Oryzias latipes: one gene and its partner. The protein of the gene in region 2 interacts with the protein of the main gene of each other region in a pairwise test. Links are inferred from orthologs where the notes say so. Each region holds a gene or a part of one and is shown on either strand. Other genes may lie near its edges.

Region 1 (3,197 bases), on a different chromosome or scaffold from region 2:
TGGGACTGAACACTGGCATGGTTGGGGTCATCACACCCTGCATAATACAATACCACCACGTTGTTAAATTAGAAGAAAGTTTTTTTTTTTTTTAAAAGCTCAGTATTTACAGTAATGCAAAATATGACCTGCAGTATGACTTTCTGAAGCAACCGGAAATCATGCTCTGATTAAATGTAATCGTAGATACAATACAGAAATACAAAATAAAAGAATCATGATTTCCTTAATGAAATTTATATTTCAGTCATAAATATCTTGAAAATAAATATATCAAATTTAAATAAAAGTAACTCATATTCAAAACTAACCAAAACATATGTAATAAGTTGAAATTGAGAACTTATCAATATTTTTCTCAATATTTTGTGATGACCCGATCATGTAATTAGAAATATTATATTTGTGAAATGTTTGTTTTATGAAAACCATTTTGAAGAAACCAAAGCGGAGATTAATACCGGAGGTGAAGCCAGGCCTTGAAAGGCTTGGATGCTGTTGTTTTGGTCCATGTTTTGTGCTTCTCCCGTTCCAACACTGCCAACCACTATTAGGCAGTTGTCCAATCCACTTTCGCAGCAGGTGCCTTGAATTGAGAGGGCTCTATGTACGTAGAAAAAGACCACTAGAATAAAAATAGACTTCACAATCTCCCCTGTTTTTTTCCACAATGCTGAGTCCAGAACGCTGAAAAACAGAAGATGTGTGTGTGTGTACACAGAAGAGAAGTTAGCAAAACTAGAACAGAAATAAGAGCGCGAACATAAAAGAAACATAATATTCTGAGTCACGAGGTCTGCAGTTACCGTGAACCTCATTGTGTGGCCTTTCAAATGCTTTTTTTTAAATCATTAATTCTTGTCTATAGACGATCAGTTCTCTCGTAGCACATCTGACAGCCTTCAAATTAAACACACCGGCTAGCTGAAGTTAGCTGCATAGCTAAAGTAAGCTAGCATACACATAGGGATACAAACCCTTTTCTGTGGCGTAAAGCGTTTGCCGCGTTAAAAAAAGTTGAAAACTAAACTATATGTGTTGAAAGAAAAGCCTGTTAATGAAAGGCAACTTACTGGTATCGTTTTGGAGCTGAAGTGACCACAAAAACAAGATAATGCGAGCTTAGCTTGTTTTATCTAACGCTCAGTCTGGGAAGAAAATGCTTGGCTCCTTCCGGAAGAAGAAGCTTTAACTTCCGGCGTGTCACAGCGCGCAGTCAGACAGAGCAAAGATGGCGTCGCTGAGTGACAAATCAGTTTGGGACGAGGTGGAAGATGGAATCGGAGAAGAAGTGTTAAAAATGTCCACAGAGGAGATAGTCCAGCGCACTCGTCTCCTCGACAGCGAGATAAAGATCATGAAGAGCGAAGTGCTTCGGGTGACTCATGAGCTCCAGGCCATGAAGGATAAAATCAAAGAAAACACGGAGAAGATAAAGGTGAACAAAACTCTGCCGTACTTGGTTTCGAACGTGATTGAGCTGCTGGATGTGGATCCCAACGACCAAGAGGAAGATGGGGCAAATGTGGATTTGGATTCCCAGAGAAAAGGAAAGTGCGCTGTCATTAAAACCTCCACCCGGCAGACATACTTCCTGCCGGTGATCGGGCTGGTGGACGCCGAGAAGCTGAAACCTGGAGATCTTGTTGGGGTCAACAAAGACTCCTACCTGATCCTGGAGACCCTGCCCACAGAGTACGACTCCAGAGTTAAAGCCATGGAGGTGGATGAGCGTCCCACTGAGCAGTACAGCGACATAGGCGGCCTTGATAAGCAGATCCAGGAGCTGGTGGAGGCTATAGTCTTGCCTATGAACCACAAGGAGAAGTTTGAGAACCTGGGCATCCAGCCACCCAAAGGGGTTCTCATGTACGGCCCACCTGGTACAGGAAAAACCCTCCTGGCCAGGGCCTGTGCTGCTCAGACCAAAGCTACCTTCCTAAAGCTGGCAGGTCCGCAGTTGGTACAGATGTTCATTGGAGATGGCGCCAAGCTGGTCAGAGATGCCTTCGCTTTGGCTAAAGAGAAAGCTCCGTCCATCATCTTCATCGATGAACTGGATGCTATTGGAACGAAGAGGTTCGACAGCGAGAAGGCTGGAGATCGAGAGGTGCAGAGGACCATGCTGGAGCTGCTCAACCAGCTGGACGGTTTTCAGCCCAACATGCAGGTCAAGGTAAAGATGCTTTCCATGTAAACATTTGTGTAAAACTAATTGTAATTAGTTACAGCATTATATTCTTTAATCTTTTAAAATGGTTGCTAAATTTTACATTTAAACTTTAGCATGCACTCTAATAATGTTGTGCTCCAGGTCTGACCACAGTGCTCTTGTAAATCCTTCATAGGTGATTGCTGCCACCAACAGAGTGGACATCCTGGACCCTGCTCTGCTTCGTTCAGGTCGGCTCGACAGAAAGATCGAGTTCCCCATGCCGAACGAAGAGGCCAGAGCTCGCATCATGCAGATTCACTCCCGCAAGATGAATGTCAGTCCTGATGTCAATTATGAGGAGCTGGCTCGCTGCACGGATGACTTCAACGGAGCCCAGTGCAAGGCTGTGTGTGTGGAGGCTGGTATGATCGCACTGCGCCGTGGCGCCACAGAGCTCAACCATGAAGATTACATGGAGGGAATCCTGGAAGTCCAAGCCAAGAAGAAGACCAACCTTCAGTACTATGCTTAAGGCCACTGCCGGTGTCTGGGTTTTGTGTGAGCATGTATTGTGATTAAAAAAAATCCTGAGCAAACACTTGTTACTAAAACTATCTTGATTTAATAAAAAGAGAGAAAATCAATGTAGTCTTTTGTCCTACTGATTACAGTGAAAGAGGACTATGAGGTGCTTTCAAACAAATACATAAAAAAATCTTATAATATGGAGGGAAGTTTCTCAGACTTTGTCATGTTTTGGGTGAATCATTCACTTGAGCAAAAATAATCCTATTTTGGACAACAACTTTATTTAGGGCCCTGCATACAACCATATTAAAGGATTTTTTTTCCAACAATTCTTTTAGCTTTATGGATTTGAGAGATCGGTTGGGCTGTATCAATATTAATGTGTTATCAGGAAGCAACCTTTATTACATTTTTAACATTGACGTAAATAAAAACTTCAAATTATCTTTTACTCTATCCATAAATATGGTTTTGTTTGGTTTTCAAAATAGAGGTATGCTTTTATCACGTTTTC
Region 2 (3,862 bases):
AAAGATCTGAAGTGAAGAGATGCTTTGTCACATAGTATGAAATCAGTTATCTTTAATGCCAGAAAGTCAAAAGATAATCAGACATTTTTGTATGAATTTAATAGTATTTCTATTCTGGAAGAGTGGATGAAAGTTGTGGATATCTAGAAATGCTGTAATGAGGAACTTCAGACTTTTAATGTATTTATCTGTTGTAGAGCAGCATCAGATTCACTAAAGGAAACTAATGGAGGCTGGTTTTGAGGCTGATTTTGTGCTGGAGCAGTTTTGGTAAAGTTGTCAATGTCAAAATATGCACAAGATAATTCCCTTACAGATTTTTCTTATCAGCAAATAAAATAAAAGTCTCCTCCATGGTAGCTTTAACATTGATTAAGAATATCATTCTTACATGATGCAATTACATTTAATTTAATCAATGAAAACCTTTTATTATAATTAATTTACCCTACTAATGGGCATTAGAATGAAAGTTCAGGGCATTGACTTGCAGATATTTAAAAAAAAAAAACAGTGGAATTTATCTTTTGGGGATTTAATGGAATTGTAGTCACTGTGCAAAAACAAAACCACCCCCCCTCCACGCACACACAAACACACACATTTGTCCCTTTTATGATATTTTTAAAGATGTGTCCGTTCTGCCAACATCATTTGAATGCACAGTTTTCACAGCCATCCTCTTAATCCTAGAAACCCACAAAATCTGGAAGCGGTAGAAAGAAACAACATTGAAATCTTACGGTCACTTTTGATGTTTAATATTAAAGAGATACTGAGTAGACAGTGAGGAACAACACATCTATAAACATGAATTACTGCTTTGTTTTTTTTATTTTTTTATTTACCAAGGCTGTGTCCCACCAAGGTGGGGTAGCCTAGACAAGGCACACAATTTTAGCTCCCTCTGTCTCTTCCCCAAACCCTCCTCCTTCAGTGTGTGTGTGTGTATGTGCGTGTGACTGGTCTGAGGCCTGGTCTAAGCCACACCACACTGCACCAGGGTCAGCTGCACACTCCAGTGTGGGCACCTCCACAGCAGGGCCTCAGCCAAGGCTGGTTTCCCCTTGCCGCTTCATCCCAAGACCAGACCTCTACCACACCCATCCATTCATCCATACACAAGCTCTCTCCACCCATCCCTGTCCTGAGCAGCCTCTCTCCCTTGCACCACAGTCATCCCTCTTGCATTCAACGCTCTTCTTACACCCTCAGTCCATCCCATTAGCCGGCATTAATCATAATTTATATTAAAAAACAGGATACCAGCACTTAAAAGCCACATCGCAGATGTCATGTCAGAATCAGGTAGTTACATTTTTTTAAATTCCCAATTTTCTCATGTCGAAAAGAAATAAAAAAAATAAAATGTTTACCCTCCCAACCAAAAGGTGGCGGTAATGCATCAATCTGTCAACAGCGTTCAATAACAAAGACGTGCGTCACAAACCGGAAGTCCAGAGCTAATAGCCATCAGCAGAAATGAAGATGACAGAAGAAAACTCTCTTGAAAGGTTAAATGTAACGATGGATGATGTGAACGCTATGATTAAAAAAAAAGAAGAAATTGAGGAGCAGATAAAGGCGTACTATGATGTCTTAGAGGACGTAAGTTGGACACAAAGTTACATAAACTCTTTGGGTTTCGAGTTTCCAAAATCAATCATTCTATCGGTTTTTTATAGCAGGGGGTTGGAGTTGAGGGTCCACTGGTTGACGCTGAGGGTTACCCACGAGCGGATGTGAATTTATACCAAATCAGGACGGCGAGACACAACATATCATGTAAGCATAAGATTTTTGAAACACATTTTATTGAGCTTGTTGTGTATAGAAAATAAATATAACATTCAACAATCCGACGAAGATCATGATCCTGTATAGCTTGAACCAAAAGTTCAAAACTTATAGTCAATAAGAATTTTAAACAGCAAAGACTCTTTAGTTTAACTATTTATTTTTGCTGTATTTTTTTTTCTTCATTTCCCCCCTTTTTTGTTAAACTTTTATGGCAACAGACGTTATTTCTTTGTTTTCAGGTCTGCAAAACGACCATAAGGCCATCATGGCAGAGATAGAGGAAGCCCTGCACAAGCTGCACGCTCGAGAGAAGGCCAAGCGAGAACAGGACCAAGCAGAAGCCACAGAGGAGCCCATGGAGCAGCAGGTCACCCTGCCTCCTCCTTTTGCACAAGTGGACACCGTGACTGAAGGTTCACCTGCCTCTGCAGCGGTTAGTGAATTTTAGCTTATTTTGTATTCTCAAAGAAACTATTTATACTACTTTAGATATCTTTTTTTTCCCTTAAAAGGGCCTCAAAGTTGGAGATGAAGTCATTGAGTTTGGCTCTGTAAACACCAAGAACTTTCAGAACCTCCAGAATATTGCATCTGTCGTGCAACACAGTGAAGGGGTAAGTTTAGATGTTGTCCTGCAGGTTTATATTGAATATATTAACATTTCTATTTTTCTTCTAATAAGTCTGTTTTGTTGCCACAATGTATTTTGCTTTCAAATTAAAACATTTTTCTTAACAAATTTCTGTTAATTCCATAAGAATTTAACTAAAATGGGAATCTCTTCATCGCGTTTCTGTTGCAGAAAGCTCTGCGTGTCACGGTTGTAAGGGCTGGCCAAAAGGTTCAGGTGAATCTCACCCCACAGCGATGGTCCGGCAGAGGTCTGCTGGGGTAAGTAAAAAGCATCTTCACTGTTACAAGCCCTTGTTTGGATCAGTTCTTGTAGAACCAGCTTGATCTAAATTTAAAAGGGGCTAAAAAACAGCCATTTTATGAAATGAAATACTGGTAAACCAATCCTTTACCATACTTTCTTATTGCTGTTTTTGATTTTTTTTGAATAGCTACACCTAAAGTCAAAACCTGTTCATGTTTCTCTTTTCATTTTTTAGATGCAACATTGTTCCTGTCCAGAGATAAACTACACAACTTACATTCTGGAACTTTTCCCCCACTTTCCTTTTTGAGTGATTTCCCAATGACTTTGTATACAAGAGCAGAATATGGGACAATAAAGAACACTTGAGATTAAATATTTGGCAGACAGTTTTCTGCATTTGCAAAAGTTGGGACTGTTAGTTTTCCCTTCTGCATAACAAAAATAGATTTAGATTTTTCTATATTCTTCATCTTGGTTGAAATTAGTGACTGACTTTAGGATACAGTGATTAAAGAAAAAATAAAATAAGGAAAAATATCTAAAACAAAATGCAAATGCTTTGCAATAATCTGAAATTGTTTGATTGAATTTGGCTTGTTTTTTTCATTAGATTTTTCACCCCTTTTCATGTAATGGGAAGAACTTTTTTGTGTTTGCAGTGTTAAAAATGTCATCTAAAATAATAAAAAAAGACAAAATTGCAACCTGTGTTCTATAGATTCCACACAATAATGCTTTTGAGACAATCAAGAAAAACGAAATTTTAATTCAAATAAAATTATAGATTTTATTTATTGAATCAAAAAGTACAGTTTTTTCAATTTACAAGTAACAACTAAGATATGGGCTGAAAAATATTTAACTTAGCATGTTCCTAAGTCGTCTGTGACATTGGTATGAATGACAGGTGAAAAGTCTGTCTTGACATGTTTGCATTTTCCAGCCCGTTTAAAATTTCAACAAATCTAAAACTACAAAAGTTTTTTTAAGTGACGACAAAGAAGTGGTCTGAATAACATTGGAGGGGCAATCATGCAGGCATCTTGAGTTTCTTCTTTTTAGGTTTGACCATCTGTGGCAGTTGGATTTTAAAGGCAGTCCTGAAACAACACAAAACGAGACTGAACAGTCTAAATGCACAAAGTTCAATTGGTGCTAAATGTCCCATTTACTGGCAGTACA

The links. The genes of interacting proteins can lie anywhere in the genome.
Region 1: the proteins of psmd9 (region 2) and psmc3 interact in binary tests that used the Homo sapiens proteins (3 or more experiments, as listed by UniProt). The link is inferred for Oryzias latipes from reciprocal best matches to the Homo sapiens genes PSMD9 and PSMC3.

Annotation. Positions count from the first base shown.
Region 1 is NC_019861.2:24,483,547-24,486,743, forward strand, and holds psmc3 (26S protease regulatory subunit 6A), read left to right. Parts: upstream 1-1,211; 5' UTR 1,212-1,231; coding exon 1,232-2,176; intron 2,177-2,348; coding exon 2,349-2,687; 3' UTR 2,688-2,697; downstream 2,698-3,197. Other genes in the region: tbp (TATA-box-binding protein), read right to left, coding at 1-37, 462-512.
Region 2 is NC_019867.2:12,049,006-12,052,867, reverse strand, and holds psmd9 (26S proteasome non-ATPase regulatory subunit 9), read left to right. Parts: upstream 1-1,435; 5' UTR 1,436-1,482; coding exon 1,483-1,608; intron 1,609-1,685; coding exon 1,686-1,785; intron 1,786-2,039; coding exon 2,040-2,233; intron 2,234-2,312; coding exon 2,313-2,414; intron 2,415-2,602; coding exon 2,603-2,691; intron 2,692-2,912; coding exon 2,913-2,940; 3' UTR 2,941-3,200; downstream 3,201-3,862. Other genes in the region: gtf2h3 (general transcription factor IIH subunit 3), read right to left, coding at 3,711-3,780. UniProt on the Homo sapiens protein: Acts as a chaperone during the assembly of the 26S proteasome, specifically of the base subcomplex of the PA700/19S regulatory complex (RC).